2 linked regions of the Drosophila melanogaster genome follow. The protein of the gene in region 2 interacts with the protein of the main gene of each other region in a pairwise test. Each region holds a gene or a part of one and is shown on either strand. Other genes may lie near its edges. The genes, in order: hpo and RpS20.

Evidence for each region.
Region 1: the proteins of RpS20 (region 2) and hpo interact in a two-hybrid assay, tested with the Drosophila melanogaster proteins (2 studies listed by BioGRID).

Annotation. Positions count from the first base shown.
Region 1 is NT_033778.4:19,493,231-19,498,841, forward strand, and holds hpo (hippo), read right to left. Parts: upstream 3,627-5,611; 5' UTR 3,519-3,626; coding exon 2,231-3,518; intron 2,174-2,230; coding exon 1,452-2,173; 3' UTR 766-1,451; downstream 1-765. Other genes in the region: Rep (Rab escort protein), read left to right, coding at 1-187, 245-645; CG15120 (uncharacterized protein), read left to right, coding at 4,572-4,836, 4,930-5,108. UniProt on the Drosophila melanogaster protein: Plays a key role in the Hippo/SWH (Sav/Wts/Hpo) signaling pathway, a signaling pathway that plays a pivotal role in organ size control and tumor suppression by restricting proliferation and promoting apoptosis.
Region 2 is NT_033777.3:20,820,416-20,824,073, reverse strand, and holds RpS20 (ribosomal protein S20), read right to left. Parts: upstream 1,894-3,658; 5' UTR 1,804-1,893; coding exon 1,801-1,803; intron 1,657-1,800; coding exon 1,501-1,656; intron 1,465-1,500; exon of another isoform or gene 1,325-1,464; intron 1,273-1,324; coding exon 1,183-1,272; intron 1,149-1,182; exon of another isoform or gene 1,014-1,148; intron 943-1,013; coding exon 829-942; 3' UTR 718-828; downstream 1-717. Other genes in the region: CG17272 (uncharacterized protein), read left to right, coding at 109-139, 207-271, 335-685; CG17271 (uncharacterized protein), read left to right, coding at 2,363-2,473, 2,533-2,646, 2,708-2,928, 3,276-3,424, 3,631-3,658.

The sequences.
Region 1 (5,611 bases), on a different chromosome or scaffold from region 2:
AAGGGCATCGAGTTGAAGCCGCACATCTCACGTGGCTTGTTCATATCGTCCAGTCCCCTGGGCAATGAGGAGCTGAACAAGGGAGGTGGTGGTGTAAATCTTCTTCGACTACTTGACAATGAAGGTGGACGGGAAGCCTTCCTAATACAACTGTCGCACTACACGGGAGCCTGTCCCGAGGGTTTATGTAAGAAACTTAAGAAAATATGTGAATTATTCCTTTTTAATGAATTAATTTTTACAGATATCTTCCATCTGACCACGCCAGCGTTGAGCGAGGATCCAGCGTCTGATCTAGCCATTTTCACTAGCCAACTCTTCGATCAATCAGACGCACAAATAATATTTAGCTCATACTTCACAATTGCTGCCCAGTCTAGTAAAAGTCCCGCTGCCGAGCATATTTACTACACCGATCCACCTACCTACGAGCTGGATTATGACGCGGCCATTGCCAATGCTCGCGACATATTTGGCAAAATGTTCCCAGATGCCGACTTTTTGCCACGAGCCCCAGATCCAGAGGAGATTGTCGTGGATGGTGAAGACCCTAGTGCCTTGAACGAGCACACTTTGCCCGAAGATTTGCGGGCACAATTGCACGACATGCAGCAGGCAACTCAGGAAATGGATATACAAGAGTAGTCATACTAAAATAAAAAGGAGGTTTCCTTGGTCTACATATATCATTACTTATTACAAAATTTTCTTAAGTATCTTTCGAATAAGTTATATATTGTATGCAATTTTTTGATTCATATATTCCTATATATTTATTATGTAAATTATTTATAATTGCTAAAAGTACTAGGTATATATAAATGTTTAAATGTGAGTGTTTCTGTGCATTTTGCTTTGATAAATATATGTTCGAAAAATATGCATTCCAATGCGTATAAAAATGTTTCTCCTTTATAAGTATTGCTTGACGGGTTACTGTTTTTATCGCACGAAGACAGAAAATAAGTGTTTTAGAGATAAAGGTTAATAGTTACCAAGGAAGAACGAATATTATAAGTCTTATTAAATTATGATAAGGCCTGGGCAGTTCACAATACGGGCAGCTACAATAAACGCAAGATAAATTTTATTCGAGCATACCTATTTATATTAAAAGACAGATCAATGAAAGCTAGGATATAAGAAACCAAGCATAAATTTGATGAAATCTAACAGAAAATATGCTTTCGTGCTGGAAGATACTGCCGATGACTCCTCTTTTCTGTTTTCACTGCATTTTACAATAAAGCTTTTGTGTTTTCATTTCTTGTGATTGATTTTAGACCCTTCCACCAGGTTAAATTTGCACAATGCACGAATAATTTCTAGAGGATACAGATGATGGGTCTGTAAGATTCAGTATTCATCTGCAAACTTAACCCAATGTAGAGGCAATTGAGTGAGTTGAGATTTCATAATCAGTTGTCTTGCGAAATTGTGAGTTGCTTTACCTATATCTTAATCAGATTATTATTGATGTTCTGCTGGCGTTTGCGCTTTGCATTCATGGCGTCAACAATTGGCTGCCGCTTGGCATTGTATTTCTTGTTTAGCTGTTCGATCTCCAGCTCCATTTCGTGATCGATGTTGCACAGCCGCTGGTTCAGATCGTCGAAGGTAAGGAACTTGAGGAACTCAAACTCACCCTCAACATAGGCGTGCGATTGCGTATGCATATGCTGATTCTGATATGCGGGCGGCGGTTGAGCTGGAGCCGCTGCCGGTATTCCCTGCTGTCCCATTGGCGCAGCGTTGCTGAGCAGCAGATTCGGTTGATTGTTGAGCGCGATGAGTTGTTCGTTCATCAGGGGATAAGCCATCAGAACTTGCTGCTGCTGCTGGTGCTGCTGCAGACCATACTGATTAATGGCGGAGATCTGCTGGAACTGCATTTCCATGTTGTGCTCCCAGTTGTTCAAATCGTTGGCCCCGCTTGCCAGATGCTGTTCATCCTGCTGTTGTTGTTGCTGCTGCTGTTGTTGTTGTTGTTGCTGCTCCGCTGCTGCCGGAGAATACTCTGTGGCTATGGGTTTTTCATCGCCACGGCCATCTCCCGCATTTTTGCGATCGAAGTGCTCCAGGAACTGCGGCCTGTAGCGGTTTCGCGGCTTCTGGTCGTCGTTGTTTTTGGCCGTTGTGGAGTCGTCCGAATCGGAGTTGATTACCATAGTGCCTGAATAACAGACAATACAATAACAAATGGCCAGCCCTTTCAAAATCATTTACATACCCAAGTTCGACTCCAGCTCCACCATTGTGCCGCTGTCAACTGCCGGCATGTCCAGAGGAGATGCTGCCGAAGAGGCCGCTGCAGGAGCAGCTGCCTTGGACAGGTTCCTTAGTCCACCCGGCCCCAAAGTGCCCTCATCCACACCTTGCTCTGCATGCGCTATCATGGTGGCATCTGAGGCTGAGCTCTGTTGGTATTCACCGAACTTCTCCGGCACCAGAGTACCTGGATCCTCCATAAACGCGTTGTCCGTGATGTGTTGTTGCATTCCGTTTTCCTGGGTTGCCAAGCTCTTCGCCTGACTAGCAGCCAACACGCCCCCAAAACTGCGATTGGCGCGTTGCTGCTCGCGAATGGCACAGGTCTCCTCAAGCATAGGCTTTAGGATCGATCGGTGCTTGGCGTTGCGTATGAACTCGTGCTCCAGCAGTTCAGTGGCCGTTGCCCGGTCGTCTGGCTCCTTTACCAGGCACTTGCTCACGAAGTCAATGAACTCTGTGCTCCAGCGATCCGGTTCCCGGAACGATGGTGGTGGCTTCTGCGGAATCATAAAGATGGCTCGCATGGGATGGATCTCACCGTATGGGGGCTTTCCCTCGGCCATTTCCAAGGCGGTGATGCCCAATGACCATATGTCTGCCACACAGTCGTAGCCAATCTCCTCAATCACCTCGGGGGCCATCCAGAAGGGCGTTCCGATCACAGTGTTTCTCTTGGCCATTGTGTCCGTGAGCTGACCAGCGACTCCGAAATCGGCCAACTTAGCATAGCCTTCGGTATTGAGCAGGATGTTGGCCGCCTTGATGTCGCGATGGATCTTGCGACGCAGATGCAGATAGACCAAGCCCTGCAGAGTGTCCGACAGAATAGTGGCTATCTCGTCCTCCGTCAGCGTCTTTTTGCGCAGACGCATAATGTCGGAGACGCTGCCGGCGCCACAGTACTCCATGCAGATCCACAGGTCATACTGCTTGAAGTAGGAGCCGTAATAGCGCACCACATACGGCGAGTCGCATTGTTGCATAATGGATATCTCCTTAATAATCTCGTGCAGGTCGGACTCCACCGGCACCAGCTTGATGGCCACAATGGAGCTGCTTTCCTTGTGCACTGCCTTGTAGACTGATCCATAGCTGCCCTCGCCCAGCTTGTACATAATGTCGAAGACCTTTTCCGGCGGCTGCAGAAGCGACTCCTCCGACAGCTTCTTCAGCTTGAAGAAGGAGCAGGAGGAGGATATGTTGGGCGATTTCATATCTACAACGCTGGTCACCTCTGGCTCAGACATTGCGAAAAATTTTCTGATTTAGCACGAGAAAACACAGATAATTGGCTATTCACAGCGACATATCACACTTTTGTTCTTTATTCGCACTCGATCGCTAGCCAACACTAGTAGTTCTCAGTGCCCTCGGCACTTTGCAACACGCCACCCGCACAGAACAGGTGCGGCGTTGCCAGACAAACGCCGAACACCGCAGAATGTAAACAAAGCACCAGTGCTGCATAGCAGAATTAGCCATTTATCGATAAGTTCTCTTGGCGCGCTTTTTAAAACTTAATTTATTGGCTCAGAATTATAAGGTTAAAATTAAATTTACAACTCACGCATGCTTACCTCTTTTTTGAAATCTTTGCTTGATGATGGCATTTCTATGTTTTTCTCATGGCTATTGATTAGATTTATGACGATTTACTTTGTACTTTGATTAAAAAGATTTAGTAAATTCTGATTAACATATAATATTTATAATATTAAGTTGTTTAGGTAATTTGTTTCACTTTGAATACGTTTTAATATTTATTACTTCTGTATATAAAATTAAATTGCTTTTATGGATCGATTGTTGTTGTTCATCAAATAGAATAAAATGTTGGCATGATTGACATGAGCTGTGCCAATTTGTCGTTGTTAATCTGCGGTTGCGCCCCCAGAAAACCCAGATCCCCTTCATTCCGATGAGTTCGCTGACCTGAAATGCCCAATAAAAGTGCTTGGGAAATCTACATGCAGTCCGGGGACTTTGGTTAGTGCATAGTCGAATGATAATAACAACATAACTGGCGCCTATAAGGCTAACCGGCTTGTTATTGTAACAAATGCGACTGGAAGAGAGCACCGCAGCGAATGCGAGCAAGCGGCTTTAGCTCCAACTGCTGGCTTATCGGTCACTAAGCCGCCCCAGGCCTTAGCAACGTGCTCCATAGAAACGACACGACACCCAACAGCAACAGCAAAAGCAACGCCAACACCAGGAGTGCCAGCCTGGCTACAGAAATTCCTTCGCTCGGCAGTTCGCTGTTTACACTACGTGGCTGCACATCGTCGCATCAACCGGAAATGGCCATGGCCCAAACGGCACGCACCGCGACGGCAAGGCGTCCCACGCACGACTACCACAGGCCGACGCGCTCCAAGTCCGCCAATCCGGCGCAACTGCGTCCACTTAGCGGCATCCATGGAGCGGCGGTCTCGTCGCGTCCGCGCTACGTTCCACCCTTCTCCATTCAGTCGCAGCAAAAGAACACGGTCGTCATCGACGGACCCATCCACGAAACCGCCCCCAAGACAGCCAGTGCCAGGAGTCGGGTGCCCAATCCGAAAAGTGCGTTAGTTTGTTTATTTGGGTGTTTCGCCCATCGGTATTTGTTTCCCTAATGACATCCCTGCCCACATTTGCATTTGTACTGATTTTCAGTTCTGAGGCGCCAACAAAAGTCCATGTCCACCTTCAACTTGGGCATGGGTCTTAATGGCTGCTCCACCGGTGGGGCTAATGATCCGGGACGAGGAACCCTCTTCCGAATGTACTTTGACCGCGGCGACCTGCCCATAAAGATGGAGTACCTCTGCGGGGGCGACAAAATCGGATGGACGGTGAGTGGTGGGAATTATTTGGTAGGGCGCTAAATTCCATTAGGTTCGTTGTTAGTTGACTTATTAATTATACTATATATATGGTATTAAGTTATATTGTTCGAAATTTGGATAGGTCATACATTTAAACTTAATTCTTTTTAAGCCCTTACATTCGGGTAATGATTTATTTTTGTAACCATAGCTAGAATTTTCCATATGTCTGTTGGCAAACTTAAACTTCAACTATACAAATGTGAGTCAATGCAAATAAAAATCAAATGAAATTGCACGACTGTCACTAGAAAGGGGTAACCTTACCACTCGGTGACCCATAGACAAAGCCCATATTTGAATTTAGCTCGAGTTTCGTACACCTGCGTGTCCAATTATTTCAAGTGTTGCAGGTGAAAGCAAAAACCGAGTAAATAATATGCCATTGTCTATTTCCGGAGTTAGTAGAGCTCCACGGCTGACGGGCAAGCGATTCCGTCCGGAATGCGACTACTGACATTCAAAACGTC
Region 2 (3,658 bases):
CACTTAAACTGAAAATGCTTTCTTCTGTTCATAACTGCACTTTCCACTCGACTGCCCCCATTAACCATTTGTATTTATGCAACTTTCTACTTCTGAACTTTATTTCAGGCTCGTTACTTTAAAGAACAGGACATTGATGGTAAATATGCGTATCAATGTGAATTGATGATTTCATACCGAAAACATTTCTTATCTGTAACCCCCAGAGTTCCGTGAGTGTTTTTATCTGTTCGCCCGTTCGGGCCAAATCAACAATTTGGACGAACTAACCGTGAGTTGAGCTCCCACCCCAGAAAAAAAAAACATACTAATGGTGTAAACTTCACGTCATCAGGTTATTATGCGTTCTTTGGGTCTTTCGCCGACGATCCAAGAACTGGTTTCCTATCTGAAGCAAAAGAATGGGAAAATGAGCTTCGCCGACTTCCTGGACATCATGCATCAGCACTCCAAGGTGGAGAGTTTGCCGGACGAGGTCATTGCCGCCTTTAAAGCGGCCGATCCGCAGAATAAGGGCACCATCTCGGCCAGACAGCTGCGTAATCTACTTCAAAACTGGGGAGAGGGCCTGTCCATGCGCGAAGTGGACAACATCTTCCGGGAGGCCAATGTGAACAACAATAGCACTGTGCGGTATGCAGACTTTGTCAAGATTGCATGCGCCCCAGTTCCCGACTACTATTAGACTGCCTTTACCATAAAAAAACATTCCAGTAAAGTACTCCAATTTTCGCACAATAAAGTTGGCCAAATGTGTATGGAAAAAGTTCTTTGTTTTTATTAGCACGCCAAACTTTTCGAGGTGTAAAAATGTGGCATCTGCCGATCTTAGTTGGCGATGGTGACCTCAACCTCTACGCCGGGCTCGATGTTGATGGAGGTAATCTTCTTGACGATCTCAGAGGGCGAGTGCAAGTCGATGATGCGCTTGTGGATTCTCATCTGGAATAATGTAATATTGATTTAATATGCAACTCCATTGGCAAGCTAATAGCTGAGTCATTATTAATTAGTTTTGTCGCATTCAGAGAGGCAAAGTGTGAGGAAATACCAACAAATTGTACTATGAGAATACGTTTTATCTGGGCAAATCATTGATACTGTGGAGCGACTGGTTGAATGCCCAACCACGATATCAGATTCGCCCGTTTGTTACTATATATATTATAGGGGATAACCCACCTGGAAGCGATCCCAGGTCTTGGAACCCTCACCACAAGGAGTCTTACGGGTGGTGATGCGAAGGGTCTTGGTCGGCATGCGCACGGGGCCCTGAAATAAATGAATATTTAAGAATTAGAAAGGAATTCCTCATGAAAATGGGTATTGTAGCCTGAACCATGTGATATTCCAGCTCTGCAGTCGATCAGTGCGGGAATAATGTCCGATTCTGGCACTTTATCTAGCATTTATTAATGACTAGGCTAAGCGTCTGGGGGAACGCAAAGCCTCCAGGTAAATGCAACCTCTAAATCCCTGAGTTGGACGCAAAATTCTCACCTTGACGCGCAAGTTCTGGTTCTTTGCACCGTTGATCAGGTCGCGGCACACATTCTCCAGCGAACGCACGTTCCTGGATGTCAGGGTGATGCGGATGCGGTGCACAGAGGCAGAATCGCCGACATGGGGCTTCTCAATATCCTTGGGTGCAGCAGCCTGTGGATTTGGCGGAAACATCGATTAAGTGGGGTTAGGTTGAACGGCCATCGCACGTGCACGGTATTTCGTGTTGGCAAGGGCAATGCAAGCACTACTATTGACTCGCAGTAGTTGCGGATTGTTCGGCAACAGCATTCTTACCATTATTTAGCAATTTCCCTGGTCGAGATATTCAAATCTTTGTATTTTGAGCAGCGCTGAACCAGTCAATTTGCTGGTTGAAAACGAAGAGAAGTTTTACAGGGTGTCCACGGTAGACCGTAGCTTCAATCTTTAAAACACCCTAATTATGCCCAACTGCATTTGGGGTGTTCCTTGAGCTAAATATTAGCGGGGTACTAATACTAAACCCCTAACGGTGAAATCGTACACATATTAGATTGATTAAATTTTGAGTTGTTAAATGGAAGCATCAAGTTTGTTTTTATGATTTTTTTTTTCGGTTTGAAGCATGATAATATTATCTACGCGCATACCCCTAACCCAGGCGCGCAGTGTTGTCATGCCGCTCACACGTTTCGTGGCGAATGTCCGCACTTACCTGAGAATCAGCTGTCGCTCGCTGCGAATGTCCACCGGCGAAGAAGAAGCGATTTGTGTACGTGTGTGTTTCGTCTTTGCGACGTGGTGATTACAGAGCCACCAGAAGCGATATAGATCCCAAACCGATCCGATCCGATCCCCGCCAGAATCCAGCACTTCCATGCAGATGCGCGTCACGGAATTGCCAGCAGTTCAGCTGCTGCTGCCCCTAATCCTGATTGGATTGGCCAGCGGACAGCGCGTCGCTCCCGGAGTGAATCCGCAGCACTATGTGAGTGATTTGAAGCACCCCCATTCGCCAATGAGGGAATTAACCCACACATATTGCAGCAACAAGTGCCGCAGCAGGTGCCGCAGCACCACCCACCGCCACCACCGCAGCACCACCAGCCGCAGTACCAGCAACAGGTCCACTCAGCACCCGGTGTGCCGCCCCAGCAATACGTGAGTGCAAATGCGCATTTCCGAATGGCAAGCAATTAACCAGTAGGCCTCCGACTTCCAGCAATACGAACAGGTTCAAGTTCCCGTGCAACAGCAGGCACCGGTCCAATATCAGCAAGTTCCTGTGCAGCAGCAGCAGCAGCAACATCAACCAATCCACCAGCAACCGACGATGCAGCAACAGCAACAGCCGCAGCAGGGGCACCACCAGCAGGCAGGTGGCCACCACCATGGGCAACCGCAGCAAGTCCTAAACACCGGCAACATTCAGCAGGAGCGCGCGTAAGTGCCCGTCTATCTTATCACTGCCACTGGCAATCATTATCCATCAATGGAGCTTTAGGGTATACGAGTAAAAATGTCATAAATAAATCATAAAAGTGAAGGGAGGTATTTTGTTGTACCGCAAACCTAAGGCTTAATTAGGAAAAAAGTCTATAAATTAAGCATAGTGACATTTTCATACAGCAAATGTTTCCATTCGCATTTAAAGAAATTATATATCAAAAGTTCCATGTTAAAAGTAAATTAGACATAGTACTTACATAATATTTCTGGGCTGATCTATTTCTTCAACCAAATCAACGATCAGTTGGATCTAATACCAAACCTTACTCTTTCAATTTCAGTCACATCCAGGAGCACATGCAAGTGCCAATCGATACGAGCAAGATGTCCGAGGCTGAGCTGCAGTTCCACTACTTCAAGATGCACGACTCGGACAACAACAACAAGTTGGACGGCTGCGAGCTGATCAAATCGCTGATCCATTGGCACGGTAAGATAGCTACTGCTTTTTAATCTGGCTCGCTGGTTAGAGTTGCGTTTGTGGTTTCTGTATTTCGTTTTGTTTGACCCACTATTCTGTTCTACTTCTTTGCATATGCGTAATAAAACTGGGCTGTTTCCGGTTATGGTTGTGGTCATGCTCGAATCTCATGCTAATCCATCTCGCATCCGCCATAACAAATCATTGCCATGCAGAGCAAGGCAGCAAGGAGCAGCCGAACGG